Drosophila melanogaster: one gene and its partner. The protein of the gene in region 1 binds, or shares a complex with, the protein of each later gene. Each region holds a gene or a part of one and is shown in the gene's direction. Other genes may lie near its edges.

What was found.
Region 2: msl-3 (region 1) and msl-1 share a complex: the UniProt entries of both Drosophila melanogaster proteins name them as parts of the male-specific lethal (MSL) histone acetyltransferase complex.

The regions. Positions count from the first base shown.
Region 1 is NT_037436.4:7,123,493-7,127,243, reverse strand, and holds the start of msl-3 (male-specific lethal 3), read left to right. Parts: upstream 1-1,710; 5' UTR 1,711-1,821; coding exon 1,822-1,923; intron 1,924-2,040; coding exon 2,041-2,219; intron 2,220-2,285; coding exon 2,286-2,843; intron 2,844-2,901; coding exon 2,902-3,398; intron 3,399-3,453; coding exon 3,454-3,538; intron 3,539-3,593; coding exon 3,594-3,711; 3' UTR 3,712-3,751. Other genes in the region: BBS1 (Bardet-Biedl syndrome 1), read right to left, coding at 1-975, 1,039-1,318. UniProt on the Drosophila melanogaster protein: Component of the male-specific lethal (MSL) histone acetyltransferase complex, a multiprotein complex essential for elevating transcription of the single X chromosome in the male (X chromosome dosage compensation).
Region 2 is NT_033779.5:18,687,026-18,690,776, reverse strand, and holds the start of msl-1 (male-specific lethal 1), read left to right. Parts: upstream 1-1,976; 5' UTR 1,977-2,351; coding exon 2,352-3,590; intron 3,591-3,650; coding exon 3,651-3,751. Other genes in the region: CG10336 (uncharacterized protein), read right to left, coding at 60-983. UniProt on the Drosophila melanogaster protein: Component of the male-specific lethal (MSL) histone acetyltransferase complex, a multiprotein complex essential for elevating transcription of the single X chromosome in the male (X chromosome dosage compensation).

The DNA.
Region 1 (3,751 bases):
TATCGCCCAATGCTCGCTTGTTCGCCAAATCACCGGCCTTGGGCTCAAAGCGGGACACACGTCTCAGGATCTTAACCACGATACCACCAGATTGAGTAACGAGCGTGAGGACGTGATCCTCCATGCCCATTCGTCCGTACAGCATGGCATCCACCGTCTCCTCGAGAACAAACTCGTCGACGAGGTAGCGCTGCAAATAAAACTTGACCACTCCTCCTCTAAGGGCAATGGCCACCAGGGTGAGTCCCAGATGGGTCAAGGGCAGCGGTAGGAGGCAAACGGGTAGATCGGACATGGGCACCTGGTATAACAGCTTGCCCCGCTTTGAGTAGCACAGATAGCGATTGTCCATGGTGGAGGCGATTATCGTCTGATCGATGGGCAGCAGTAGGAGGCCGGTTAGGGGGATGCCGAGCTTGAAGATCTCCTGTCCCTCCGATTGGCTTTTCCGCAGGAGGTAGACACCGCCATTTCGCGTGGCCACCACGATGCAGAAATCCGTCTCAAAGGTTCCCTGCACGGAGATCAGGCTCGGCACGGCCGTCTCATCATCGCAGGCCTTGCCCTGGTAAACCAAATTGAAGCCCTGCGGCTCCAGGATCATGATGTGCCCGGTATCGGTGGCCAGGACCAAGTGGGACGGGGGATTGGCATCGCTGGAGATGCGCTTTATGCAGCACATGGCCACAATGTTGCCAACCCGACCCACTGGGGAGTCCTTGTGCGTGGCAATGAAGTGCTCCCGCTCCTGCTCGCCCATTTGCAGAAGTCGCTGCGATTTCCGCGACAGCTTGGAGTGGTCTATGGTTTTTAGGGAGTCAAGCAGGGCGGGATGGGCACTTGGCTTCACAACCGGCAGTTTTCGCCATACCTCCAGCTCCAGATCCTCGGAGTCCTGTGCGGGAATCGTGTACTTGAAGTATGGCTTTAGGTGACGATAGAAGAGCACTGACTCAGCGATGGCCACGGCAATTACTGGAAAATTGTATTCATTATGGAATCTAATTTAAAAATATTAAAATGCAACGTTATTTCTACCCGGCGTCTTGGGCTCCGTTTCGTCGATGTAGAGACTTTCAATGGCCGCTGGAATCCCCGGCAGTGGCTGCTCGTGCTTGAGTTTAAGACCACGGAAAACCTTCAGCGTGGCAGTGGGCTCCTCGGCGGCATTGTCCAGTGAAATGTCCGCCGCCAGCAGCCGGACATATCCGTCGCACTGCACGTCGCTCAGGGCCATGCAACTGGTGAGGGTGGTGAGATGCGGTGGAGGAGCCTCCTCCGCCGTGTCCACGTGAAGCCAGTTGGGAGCACCGGCCATGGCAGGATCTTGGTGAAAAATTTGCAGCACAGTGTGAAAACGAACAGGTGATTCAGGACATGCTTTTGTTTTGGTTTTTCTTGTCCTTAGCAACCGGGATGACAGCACATTTTTTGTTACTTATTTGGGTTTTTTCTTAAAAACACAAAATGATCGTCAGCATTATTCTTAAATGCTAACAGGGTAAAGCTACGTATAACTAAAAAATCATTTGGCAAAAGGTAAAACTGTGATCAAATTACTGATGATAGAAAATTTTATTTAAATTGGCCGCCAAAAATGCATTTTGTCTGGTCACACTTAAGGCCGGCCTGCTAAAGACGTGCAAGCATCGACAGTATGTGTTATCGATAAGTGCGAGGGAATATTCGATACCCACGTCAATTGCTTATCGCAAAAAACATTCGTTATAAATATCATCTCAGCGACGCCAGCAGTTGAATTCAATATTTAACATTTTGTATACATAAGTGACTGACTACGGCCCTATTTAACTGCAAGTAATGACGGAGCTAAGGGACGAGACACCGCTCTTTCACAAGGGCGAGATAGTCCTTTGCTACGAGCCGGATAAATCGAAGGCCCGTGTTCTTTACACCAGCAAGGTAAATACACATGCACACACACACACACGCGCGCGCATTGAAATGTCAAGCAAACGTCGTAGGCGAAGTTTTCACAAATGATTTTCCGTTTCCCGCAATTTTCCGTACATGCCGCAGGTGCTAAACGTCTTTGAGCGCCGGAACGAGCATGGCCTGAGGTTCTACGAGTACAAGATTCACTTCCAGGGCTGGCGTCCATCCTACGATCGCTGTGTGCGCGCCACCGTTCTATTGAAAGACACCGAGGAGAATCGCCAGTTGCAAAGGGAGCTGGCCGAAGCTGCCAAGCTGCAAATGTAAGATAACCCCCTAGACATGCGTGGAATACCTCTCTAACGAGTTCCCCCTTCTTTTTCGCACAGTCGTGGTGACTACTCCTACAAGGGCACACCCGATAAGCCATCGGCCAAGAAGAAACGCGGCGGAAAAGCGGCCCACGTTGAGGAGCCAATAGTGGTTCCAATGGACACGGGACATCTTGAGGCGGAGCACGAAATGGCGCCCACTCCACGAGCAGCGGGCAACCGGACGCGGGACAACAGCGGTGGCAAGCGAAAGGAAAAACCCCCGTCCGGAGATGGCCGATTAAAGGGAAACCGGGGCAGACAAACAGAGACCTTTTATAACAATGCCATAAATGATGTATCGGTCTATAACCATGTGCCACAGGAGGATCGCATTATGATGCGAGTCAGCGAGCGATTGCGAGAGCTTATAGAGTACGATCGGAATATGATCAAGGTACTAGGCAAACAGCACGCACTGCCCGCCCGCGTGCCCATCGTGACCATCATGGAAAACTTCGTCAAGCAGCAGGCCGTGGAGCTAGCCATTAGCATTAAACAGGACAGCTCGAGGGCCAGGAACACGCAGAGTCGCAATGCCAGAATGGAGCGGGAATACGATCGCGTTATGTCCACGTTGGTTACCACTCAATATCAGACTTAACAACCCACTTATACTCTTACTTATTAACAGTGTCTGCATGCTGAAGGAGGTGGTAGACGGATTGCGTATCTACTTTGAGTTCCACGTGGATGACCACTTGCTGTATACGGAGGAGAAGGAGTATGTCCACAACTACCTCACAGACGACAACATGCGCAACTGCAGCCTAATATTGAACAAGTCGTACGAGTATATCAATCCCAGCGGTGACACGGAACTGATCGGTCTGGACGGCACGCCAGTGGTAGAAGGGTCGGGCGACACCAATGGACAGATCGGAGTTATTAATATCGGCGGTCCGGAGTACGAGAAGCAGTTGCAAAAATGCCTGCTCTACATTGTTACCGCCAGCGGGAAAAACACTGCGCAGGCCTATGAGAGGACTTCCCCATATACGGCTGCCTACAAACTGCCCGTGGAGATGCGTGGATTTCTGAACGAAACATTCAAGTGGCGGCTTTTGTCAGCGGAATCGCCGCCAGAAAAGTCCATGGTCTTTGGCGCTCCCCACCTGGTTAGGCTAATGAGTATGTACAATCTTTCTTGCATTCTATAACACACATTAATTCATGGTACTTGCAGTTAAAATGCCCATGTTCTTAAACGCATCGCCGATCAGCAACAAGAAGCTAGAAGATCTACTTCCCCACCTCGACGCCTTCATCAAGTAAGTCTAAGACCCCTCCCTAGTCCATCACGAAGCTAATCTGTTGGTTTTTCAGCTACTTGGAGAACCACAGGGAGTGGTTCGACAGGGAAAACTTTGTTAACTCCACTGCCCTGCCCCAGGAAGATCTGCAGCGGGAGCTGTTGGACTCCCTGGATGGGATTGCTGCTTAGCTTTAGTTGATCGTAGTTATCTAGTTTATTTATTATTACG
Region 2 (3,751 bases), on another chromosome or scaffold:
TTTTATAAATTATCCTTTGAAAATTATAAAAATATGCGTTTTTATATCATAAATATACACTAACTTTTACTTCCGCTCTCCTGCTGCTGCTTGGCCTTAAGTCGCTCCTGCGCCAGCCTGCGGTTTTCCGCAATCCTGGCCATCTGTTCGTTGGATAATTTCTTAGCCGCCGGCGTGGGAGGCTGTGAGGGAGGCAGCGGCTGACCATAGTCGCTGATGTCCATCGATGCCAACGGAGCTCCATTCCGATCGAAGGCCGGAGCCACAGAAGCTCCACTTCTGTCGAAGGTCGCATTTACACCGGAGTACGGCGTGGACATTACAGCATTGCCGCGGGAGAATGACGGAGTAGCCAGCGTGCTGTTACTGGAAGCAGTAGACATTTTCCACTGCTGCGGGCTGGGAGGCGCCAGCCTGGACATGGCAATCTGTTCACCTAGCAGGGCGTCGAACTCATCAAAGGGTTCATCGCCGGCACCTTCCTGTTGCTCATCCTGCGCCTCCTCCAGGGCCTCCGCTTCGTGGGCGCGCATCTGCTCCAGCTGACCGAGTCGATATCGCGCCATGTGCACTTGGAGGGGTTTCTTCTTGCCCAGCCGTTCGATATTGTTAAGCACATCGTCAAAGGTGTAGGTGGGATACATACGATGGCCCCAGTGCTGCAGGCGGCGAAGCACCTCGTCGAGATCGGTTTTCTCGTAACCCTTGCCCTTGAATTTGATGTCCTTAAAATAATCTTCGATGGTCTGGATGCCACGAGGACCTCGAAGTGTTTCCACAGTGAGTCGCGGTCGGGGATTTCTCACAGCTCGCTTCTTAGGCTCCACTATCTGGGCATCCTGGCTACCAGGTTCTACGCCGTTGTCCTCGTCGTCCGCAAACAGCTTTTCGCCTTCGCCATCGCTGGGCAGCTGATCCGGGTCAGTCGGAATGTTGTCATTGAATAGGTCATCCACACCATCATCTCCGAACAGGGATGCCATAGAACTAGTGGCCGAAACTTAAATACCAAATAAACAATCTAACAAAATTTTGGCGCCAATTTTTGTTCTTCTTCTCTATCTACCATTCACAGGCGACGCTTGCATAAGTCACAGGGGGCTGCCAACTGAACAGCTCTTTGTTCTTTTAATTTTCCGATTACATAACTATTTGGTCTTTCCCAAAGGCTATTTTGATTTGCTTAGACATATTTTCATTAGTGGGTGGCACTAAAGGTAATTTGTACAGCCAACCCGGCTTTTGCATTGGTGGCAGCAGACATAAGAGATGGCAGCGTGACACGTTTTTTTTATCACTAAGCGACACATTGGCGTCACGAGTTTTTGTTATTCTATTATATTTATACCATTATACAAGGAAGGATAATTCATCCAAAGATTGTAGTTATTTAAATTTAGTGAAATATTTAAAAGGAGTTGGTAATGTAATAAAATTACCAAAAAAAATAAAATAAAATCAATACATTATTAGCTAGCTAGTTTCTTTTTCATCTATTTTCTCATTCCAATTACTCATACCACATAAAAATTGAAAATAATTATCCGGGGAGCAACGGAAGATTATTATTTACGTTGAGAGAAACTGTCCTCTTTTAACTGCTATCCTTGTGGTCTGGCAGAGTAAGAAATAAAAATGTGTTTAACGACATTTAGTCGGAGTTGACGAGCTGCCGCTCTTTATTCTGGTAACTGCAAATTTAAGCTGAAACTTAAAATGATTCTTAAAGCTAACAAAGACTCCGGCCCAATGCTGTCTCAGCACTTTGATATTATGTTTCATACACTAAGCCAACTGTACTAGTTCGTCGGCTCGTGTTAACTTAGCTATTAGCTATTATGTGCAACAAAGTACAGTTTCGTGAAAATATTTTCACTTCGTGACTGTCGTGCTCAGCTCGTGCATCGCAGCAAATTGCCATCTCTATGCCCCCAATCAACTCTGCGCTTTGGCGAAAAGTGGCAACGCCAGCAAAACGCCATACTTTTAAGAGCATTTTCGGGGCGACTTTACATTGTGAGGACAATTGTGGAAAAAGCGGTGAAAGAACGTTCAAAAACGAACCGAAAAACTGCTGCCTAAATGCGGTCACCACGTGCGATAAGAACGCCACGTTTAAAACGATAAATCCATTAGATTCTGGCCAAGAAAAGAGCGGTTCTTTTGCGAGGGCGAGCAAGGAAAATTTAGTGTGGTGCGAAATTGTAATCGGGATTCTACGCATTGTACGGCGTATCAGCTGAAGAGATTGTGTGCACCCCAAGCGACGCAAACAAAACCAAAACAAAACAAAAACATTTGGAGAATTATGAGATCGTAGGACCGACGGCACGGGATTCAATTCGACTGCCATGGACAAGCGATTCAAGTGGCCGCCCAAAAAGCGGGCCAACTACTTGGAATCGCCCTATCCCCACATACCGTCGCGTGGCCGCCAAAGGAATCTGCACGGCCATCCCAATCAGACGCAGCATCTTCATCAGCATCCCGGGAAGATCTATGAGCGCCAGCAATATGGCAATGGTCGTGGAGGACATGGCGGGGGTAATAACAACTACCGAAAGCTTTTGCATTCGCTGCCAGCTGAGCATGGTGGCGGAGCCATGGCTCCTCCTTCCTCCGGCGGAACCGTGTGTGCCGGCGCCGATATGGTCAAGCTCATCTCGGAGAACAACAACCTGAGGCGCATGGTTATGTTGAACTTAAACCTGATGCAGGAGCAGACGGACAGCATAGCGGCCAAGGACAAGGAGCTGGACGACCAAAGCGCTAAGATGAGCGTGGTGAAGGCGCAGAATGAGGAATTAAAGCAGGCCGTTGCTCAGTTGGAGGCCGCCAACCAGGAACTATGCAAACAGCTGCGGCGAAAGAACCAGCGAAGGAACGACAATGACGACGACGACGATGATCCCCCACTGCCACCTGCTGCCCCGCAGCAGAAGTTGATACGTTGTCATGCTGAGACGCAAACTGTGTTTCGGGAGCGGGAACAGGGCACACAAACGATAGATGCGCAGCCTCAATTCGCGAATGCACTTCCCAGGGGTATCAACATGAAGGAGTCTCCCGCTCTGGACCATCACGCTGGAGCGGTAACGAATCAGCCAGCCAGCAAACGCTCGGAGAGCAAAGGCCGCGGTGAATTCAACGGTAAAAAGGTGAGCACGTTTATTCTCCAGCGCATGAATCAGGACTTCGAGCACCACATCCACGAGCAAACGGAAGTAGCAGAGGAGCACGAGATGGAGGCACATAAGGAGCAAATATCTCAGGAAGAGGACCAACTGGTCGCTGAGGAAGATCATCTGCATATGCAAGAAGTGCACACCGAGGAAGTCGTTGGAGGCGATATCTTTCATGATGCTTTGGAATCAATTGAAATGGAAGTGGTCACCGAAGAGCTGGTTGATATGGAGGAGCATGGACAGTCCGTGGATGCCAACGGCCATATCGAGGAGGATGATGACGAGGACGACGAAGATGACGAGAATAGTGATAAAGACGATGACAGTGAAGAGGATGATTATCCGTGGATGCATAGCGATGCGGATGTAAACGCCAGAACTGAGGAAGAGCTCTGGCAGAATCAGGTATGTTTAATGTTATTATTTAATTAAAAGAATATATCGAGCAATCCTTTACTCTTTCAGAATTACCTTTTGGAATTGGACCCGACGGAGGAGAAGACCTGTGCGCCTTCGGCCCATTCAACTCCCAATCACCAGCAGAAGTCTTCGACACAGGCAGAGAT